Linked DNA regions of Saccharomyces cerevisiae S288C. The protein of the gene in region 2 binds, or shares a complex with, the protein of the main gene of each other region. Each region holds a gene or a part of one and is shown on either strand. Other genes may lie near its edges. A codon is read from its position in the direction of its gene.

Evidence for each region. The genes of interacting proteins can lie anywhere in the genome.
Region 1: the proteins of MAK10 (region 2) and MAK3 are in contact, whole or in part, in a crystal structure (PDB 6YGB), measured with the Saccharomyces cerevisiae proteins. Residues at the interface, in NP_010861.3 of Saccharomyces cerevisiae: Pro35 (codon at 2,708), Glu36 (codon at 2,705), Ala37 (codon at 2,702), Ile38 (codon at 2,699), Asp45 (codon at 2,678), Leu46 (codon at 2,675), Phe47 (codon at 2,672), Gly49 (codon at 2,666), Thr50 (codon at 2,663), Ser52 (codon at 2,657), Leu53 (codon at 2,654), Glu54 (codon at 2,651), Lys59 (codon at 2,636), Leu60 (codon at 2,633), Asp104 (codon at 2,501), Tyr105 (codon at 2,498), Gln106 (codon at 2,495), Glu173 (codon at 2,294), Asp174 (codon at 2,291), Pro284 (codon at 1,961), Arg286 (codon at 1,955), Thr289 (codon at 1,946), Gln332 (codon at 1,817), Asn403 (codon at 1,604), Cys405 (codon at 1,598), Gln409 (codon at 1,586), Leu455 (codon at 1,448), Asp456 (codon at 1,445), Ile457 (codon at 1,442), Lys459 (codon at 1,436); in NP_015376.1 of Saccharomyces cerevisiae: Ile10 (codon at 1,581), Arg11 (codon at 1,584), Lys20 (codon at 1,611), Asp24 (codon at 1,623), Leu27 (codon at 1,632), Ser28 (codon at 1,635), Glu29 (codon at 1,638), Pro30 (codon at 1,641), Tyr31 (codon at 1,644), Ser32 (codon at 1,647), Ile33 (codon at 1,650), Tyr34 (codon at 1,653), Val35 (codon at 1,656), Arg37 (codon at 1,662), Tyr38 (codon at 1,665), Asn41 (codon at 1,674), Gln42 (codon at 1,677), Lys98 (codon at 1,845), Glu101 (codon at 1,854), Ile104 (codon at 1,863), Asp105 (codon at 1,866), Gln108 (codon at 1,875), Glu131 (codon at 1,944), Gly132 (codon at 1,947), Met133 (codon at 1,950), Gly134 (codon at 1,953), Ile136 (codon at 1,959), Arg137 (codon at 1,962), Met138 (codon at 1,965), Lys139 (codon at 1,968).

Annotation. Positions count from the first base shown.
Region 1 is NC_001148.4:663,407-665,990, forward strand, and holds MAK3 (peptide alpha-N-acetyltransferase MAK3), read left to right. Parts: upstream 1-1,553; coding exon 1,554-2,084; downstream 2,085-2,584. Other genes in the region: autophagy protein ATG11, read right to left, coding at 1-1,267; NHP6A (high-mobility group nucleosome-binding protein), read right to left, coding at 2,287-2,568; YPR053C (uncharacterized protein), read right to left, coding at 2,382-2,584.
Region 2 is NC_001137.3:53,293-57,887, forward strand, and holds MAK10 (Mak10p), read right to left. Parts: upstream 2,811-4,595; coding exon 609-2,810; downstream 1-608. Other genes in the region: AFG1 (Afg1p), read left to right, coding at 3,279-4,595.

The DNA.
Region 1 (2,584 bases), on a different chromosome or scaffold from region 2:
TCTGGGTGAATGCTATGTTACCCAAAATGGCTACTGCATGCTTTTGTAGACTTTTTTTTAAATCTATTAGTTCTCCTATTTGTGAATACAGCGCTTGTGATATAGTGAAGAGAGTTTTCACTGATTCTTTTTTATCCTTTTCCAACATCACATTCATGCTTTTCAAAAATTCTTGACTATTGAATTCTTCTTCTTCTTTATCAAGTACATTTCTGCTTCTTGTTCGCATTTCTGATACCAGTACCTCAAAGCTCTCTGCCATTTGGTCTTCAAGCTCGAATTTAGATTCATTCGGGGTAAACATTTGCCGCAGTCGATCGATGTTTACTGTTATAATATCTCTAAAACTTGCATTTTCGTCAATTTCCCTCTTAATTTTATTCAGCTTACCATTGATTGAATGATTTAGAATCTTTACAGATTTTTCGTTCTCCAGGAGAGATTCAATATTAATGAACTTTTGTAAAGAATCACCCTCTAAAGCAGTCAACTTACTCAAGGTGTCATTGAAGCATTTTTCCCATTTTGAAGTCATACCATTGTCTACCAGCTGATTTAAAAATTGAACGTTTGAGTTATACAAACTTTCTACATCAAAGCAGTACAGCTTCAAATATTGTGAGCAAACGGTTAAGCCATCAAAAATACGCTTAATATGGGCTATTATGTCTGGTATGAGGCTCTTAAAATAATGTACATCTATTTCTAAAGCGCTTAGCCAACCAAGGTTCGTCGTCAGTAAGCTAGTTACGGAATGGTAATTTAAACGCGAAAGATCTACGTCTGCGTCCTCCAAAGGCGAGGGCATAGGCTTGATCATAATAGTATCGCTACCTTGGTATTGAGATATATGACTATTCTTAATTAAATATTCCAGAGTCTCTGTCAAGTCGTTGGAATTAGGGGAGTTCATGGGATTAGAATCCTTAGACGTTAAAAGATTTGTTGGTGTCGGTTTACTAACAAGTGAGAATAGTCGTCTGTCGTAAACGTAAAAATCATTTAGAGTAAAAGACCTATTAATAAGCAGCTCTTTAAACATCGACGGTTTTAGTTTGTTACCATAAGGTAGTAGAATCAGCAGCTGATCGGGAGGAATCTTCCATTTCCTAGCAATGAACTGTTTAAATTTGTCCAGGGAAACGAAAAAATCAACATTCGTAGTTATACATTCTCCAGATATTGCATTTATGATAGTGGCTGTTGTCTGCAGTGGTGTTATTTCTTGCTGGGTAGGTGCAGTGCTATATTCATCAGCGTCTGCCATGATGTATAAAAGAAAATAAAAGAAGTACTTTCCGAACAACAACAGTACACTAAAATAATCGTTGTTCAAAGGAGGACTACTTTGGTTCTGATTTGAGAAAATGGTACTCAAATAAGGGCATCGCTATTATATAGTTCCATTCCTACCAAGAAACCGGGTAGCCAAAAGCGATAAAAAGGCTCTCCATGGCAAGCCTTATTAAAAATAATAATCATGAAGAACAAAGTTTCACAAGAGATTACAAGATAAAAAAGCCACTACTACAGAAAAGGCGTTGGGTCAGGACATGGAAATAGTGTACAAGCCATTGGACATACGTAACGAAGAGCAGTTTGCTAGTATTAAAAAACTAATAGATGCGGATCTATCAGAGCCGTACTCGATATACGTATATAGGTATTTCTTGAACCAATGGCCCGAGTTAACGTACATTGCCGTTGACAACAAGAGTGGAACGCCTAACATACCCATTGGTTGCATAGTGTGTAAGATGGACCCGCATAGAAACGTGAGACTGAGAGGATATATAGGAATGCTAGCCGTAGAGTCCACATACCGCGGGCATGGCATAGCAAAGAAACTAGTGGAAATTGCCATAGATAAAATGCAAAGGGAACATTGCGATGAGATCATGTTAGAAACAGAGGTGGAAAATTCGGCGGCTCTAAACTTATATGAAGGAATGGGTTTCATCAGAATGAAACGGATGTTCCGCTACTACTTGAATGAAGGGGACGCCTTTAAACTGATATTGCCGTTGACTGAAAAGAGCTGCACTCGGTCTACGTTCCTAATGCATGGCCGGCTGGCCACATAAAAGGAAAAACACTCGATGATGATAAAATATATATTAATAATACAATTTTTTTATTTATTTATTTAATCATATGTATAGATATAGAAAAAGGGCAGTAGAGAAAAGAGGAATAGAAAGGAGAGAGATAATAAAGCAAGTTTCAAAAAGAACAAGAGGAAAAGAAATTAAATCACACAGACAAAAACGCGGGGAGGAAGTATCCCTAAGCCAAAGTGGCGTTATATAACTCCTTTTCGGATTCATATCTCTTCTTATCGGCCTGGGCCTTGGCCTCGTAAGGCTGCTTTTCCTCTGGCGTTAGAGCCTTCCACTTCTCACCCAACTTCTTGCCGACTTGTCCAAATGTGATATCTGGATTTTCAGAACGAACAATATCTCTGTTTTCGTTAGCGAAAAACATGTAGGCGGACAAAGCCCTCTTAGGGGCATTTGGGTCCTTCTTCTTTCTAGTGGTTCTCTTCTTAGGTTCTCTTGGGGTGACCATTGCGACTGTGCTTTAC
Region 2 (4,595 bases):
GAACTGTAACTCAAAGAAGCCTTGAAATTTACCAAAATTCTAGACTTTGAATAATTTTTTCAGTATTAGGAGATGTCCATTTCCAGCAGTGTTAACGGATTCCAAATTTTCTTCCGGGATTTTCCCTTCGGTTACCAAGAGTGTCTCTCCAGCTCTAGGGAGAGCCCAGGAGTAATTGCCGCCGCGTCCGCCTAAGTCTAGGCAGCAAGCCACAACTGTACGGACGGAACTCCCAGCCAAGTAAGTTTGGCCCGAACTCACAACGGGGGAACGCACTGCATTTTACCAGCTTACAACAATAACGCCGTTGTAGGCGGCTTGTAGGTACAATCGCAACGATATCTGGAGTAGATGGCATTGAAATTGAGCTGATACTGTTATAGTTTACAAGCAGTACATTGTCTCATTACATTGTCTCTTTGTTTGACACCCACACATATTTGGTGTTCGGATGTTAAACAGGGTATTTATCTTGTTTTAGACTGGTACGAATGGGATAATGGCATAAGGTGGCTTCATTTGTTTGAGTATAAAGGTCTCCTTTATAATAATTAAATAGCGGGTATATAATGCTAAATATATTTTGTACAGTTAGGGTAAATTCCAGATTATTTATAGCGGTCTTGCTTTATTCTCAATGTTTGTATGGGGAAATAGTTCCATCCTTCTGTTGTATGAACTAATTCAACCTTGTATTCGTGGGAGTCCTTGTTTTTAATGTTCTTTTTCAAAGTGTTGACGATAACTTTTGAGTTGACTGATAATGCTTTAGAAGTATGTTTTAGTTTACAATAGTACTCCAGAGAGAGCTCTTGAACCAGTCTTGTTCCTGTTACTAGAACGCCGTTATTATCGCCTCCCTTGATTCCTTGCATTATCTCATCAATAGAACTAACGACATTGCGCACTTCAGTTTCGATAAAGTTAGTGGCCCTTTCTAACTTTATATCAAATGCAGCTCCTTTTTCTTCAATGACAAAATCTTTTAAAGTTTGTTGAAATACTTCATATTCTGGTAACTCAGGAACACCAATTGAATTAAATGGCTTGAATCTCAAATTATGGATTAACCGTTCATTAGAGAATTTTGACGGAGTACTATTCTTGTTGTCAATTAAACCAAATGACTTTAAAATTGCAAATTGGAAAACCTCTATTAGACATAAAGATTTGGTAATGTTAATTTCCTTCAAAAGATAGTTTAAAAATTGTTTGGTAGCTTGTAATTGTTCCATTTCATTATCCATAGCAAACCTGTACTTTAGCCTCAATTGGTCCTTCTTTTCACCAGCTTTCAATTTTTTAAGTTTTTTGTTCATGGAATGAATGGCATTAATATTTGATTCAATATCATTTTGACTATCTTTCAAAAAGGTTTCTAAGTGGTGACTTAAATAATAAACATACCAAAACATAGAGTATGCTTCAAAGGGTTTGTAAATATCCAAATCAAACCCCTTTAAAGAGAATTCGATCATACTTGATAGTTTCATAAAATATGTCCACGAACAGTAAACTTGTGAATTGACACTTTCAAACTGGGCTTGAAGAGAATCCCATAGAATAAGTTGCCTGTTAAAACCTTGTCTATATCTACATGTGTTTTGGGAGCAGTTTTGGTACCATTCTAAAAGCATATTAGAGCTTTCTTGGATAAGTTCATTACCAATAGAGGATTCAAATTCAGATGGAGTTTGTGCTGAAAACTCCTTGACATGTAGCAAATAAAATTGGGTATATGAAAATTTACCCAAAACTGTTCTGTCGTCTCTAATGAAAAATAAGGGGAATAAGATCCTTGCAATGACATGCCTTTGTTCCAACTTGTTGAAGAATTTGGCAAACTGGTAGGTCTCCAACGCAGACTCGGCTTTATCTACAAGGAGTATTGTTTTAACATCATTTGCCAGTGTAATAAAGCCGCTGTAATCCGTCGGTAACTTCGTAATCTTCCTGGGAGGGAATTGATTAGACCTGTGCTTTTGTATATATGTTGAGAACGCACCCTTTGGTGGAGACAGCTGTAATTGTGGAAATATGCCATTAACCGAGTTAGCGTTTTCAATTAGCTCATCCAGGTGGCTTGTCTTTGTGGAATAGTCTGTCAGATGGTCTTCTAAGTGGACTAAGCAAATGATAATTTTTAGTATATGCTTCAGCATAGTTAAATGTAAGCTATCATCAGAATATGCCTCTAATATCTGAAGGCTCTCGGTGAGAGAATTGATAACAACATCTTGCCCCGGCAAATTATCGAATGTATTAAACCCCATGTTATTAAAATTTAAATCCTCCTCTTCAAAAACAATACCAGCACTCAAGAGTTTCTGCACAAATTTTGTTAAATAACAAACGCCAAGTATGCAACTTCCTAGTACTTTATCATACAAAATATTCCCTGTACACCAGGACGAACCGGCAGTTGTTCCCTTAACTAATGACGATAATAAGCTTTCTGTATACCTGCAGCTTAATACAGTAGTGGGTAAAGTCTGGTAGTCATTCAGCCAGGAGATAACACATCTAAGTAATCTATCCGCTATGGCTGCTACACTTGCCAACGGTGGATCGTAGGCCACGTTCACATCAAATTCTATTTCTTCTGCTGTCAATTCTATCAGACTGGAGTCTAATTTGGAGTTGTTGACCTCTAAAGAATGTGTACCCTCGAACAAATCAAACCTGGGATCTTTCACGATAGCCTCTGGTTTTAGTTTTGAACACAATTCATCAAACAGACTTGTGACGTCAACCAATTGGTCAAAATCATCAGTTATGCTCAAGGAACCTAATATACTGTCTACTTCCATTCTCGGAAACGTACCAGCTATTATCAAAGTTGCTCTACACTAGCACAGTTGTTTTCAATCTCAGCGCCACTCTTCTTGCTATTGAAGAGCTGCTATTTTACTTGTATCTCTTCGTGAAATTTCACTCCATCTCATAATTATTACCCGAAAACATAACAATGTGAAATAATCGTATTATGTAAAGGTTAGATAATATAACAACTACTAGATAATACAGTACTCTTATTCATTTATTTAGGCACCTGATTCCACTATTACCTATTCAATAGGTGTGCCGAGTTCCTTTGTCTTACGTAATTTTACACATCTTTTATGGGTCATATTTCGATATGTAAGGTAATAACGGGAATCTCCGGATTTACTTTAAAGTGGGAGGGAGAAGTTCCTTTCTTCTGATTTGCGGGTGCTCCGAAAGAACAAAGAATAAATAGGTAAAGCAGTGAAACATAGTATTTGCTGGTTAAAATCATGATCGCTTTGAAGCCCAATGCTGTTCGAACCTTCCGACAAGTGCAGCATTGCAGCTTTCGCATTTGTCGGTATCAATCTACGAAGTCAAATAAGTGTCTGACGCCCTTGCAAGAGTACGACAGACTGGTGAAGTTGGGGAAGCTACGGGATGATACATATCAGCGTGGTATCATCTCTTCCTTAGGGGATTTGTATGATTCACTGGTTAAATATGTACCTCCGGTTGTCAAGACACCCAATGCTGTCGACCAAGTTGGCGGTTGGTTGAATGGTCTTAAATCCGTATTTAGCCGTGGCAAACCTAAGAACATTGGGGCGTATGTGGATGTATCCAAAATTGGTAACTCGATACCTCGAGGAGTTTACCTATATGGAGATGTTGGCTGCGGAAAGACAATGTTGATGGACCTTTTTTATACTACAATTCCCAATCATTTAACAAAAAAGAGAATACATTTTCACCAGTTTATGCAATATGTTCACAAAAGGTCGCATGAAATTGTTAGAGAGCAAAATTTGAAAGAACTAGGTGATGCAAAAGGAAAAGAGATCGATACGGTTCCATTTTTGGCCGCAGAGATTGCAAATAATTCGCATGTTCTTTGTTTTGACGAGTTTCAAGTCACTGACGTGGCAGATGCAATGATATTGAGAAGGCTGATGACTGCCTTACTATCCGATGATTATGGTGTCGTACTTTTCGCAACCTCGAATAGACATCCAGATGAGTTGTATATCAACGGTGTTCAAAGACAATCATTTATTCCTTGTATTGAACTGATAAAGCATAGAACTAAGGTTATCTTCTTGAATTCGCCAACAGATTACCGTAAGATTCCAAGACCTGTGTCCTCAGTTTACTATTTCCCATCCGATACGAGCATAAAATACGCATCAAAGGAATGTAAAACCCGTCGAGAAACTCATATTAAGGAATGGTATAACTATTTCGCACAGGCTTCCCACACCGATGATTCCACTGATTCACACACGGTGCATAAGACATTTTATGATTATCCATTAACTATTTGGGGGAGAGAGTTCAAAGTCCCTAAGTGTACCCCACCTCGAGTCGCGCAGTTTACTTTCAAGCAGTTGTGTGGTGAGCCTTTGGCCGCAGGAGATTACTTGACGTTGGCAAAAAATTTTGAAGCCTTTATAGTGACCGATATTCCATATTTGTCCATTTACGTTCGTGATGAAGTGAGAAGATTTATTACATTTTTAGATGCTGTATATGACAGTGGCGGGAAACTGGCCACTACGGGTGCAGCGGATTTTTCTTCCTTGTTTGTGGAACCTGAACAGATACTT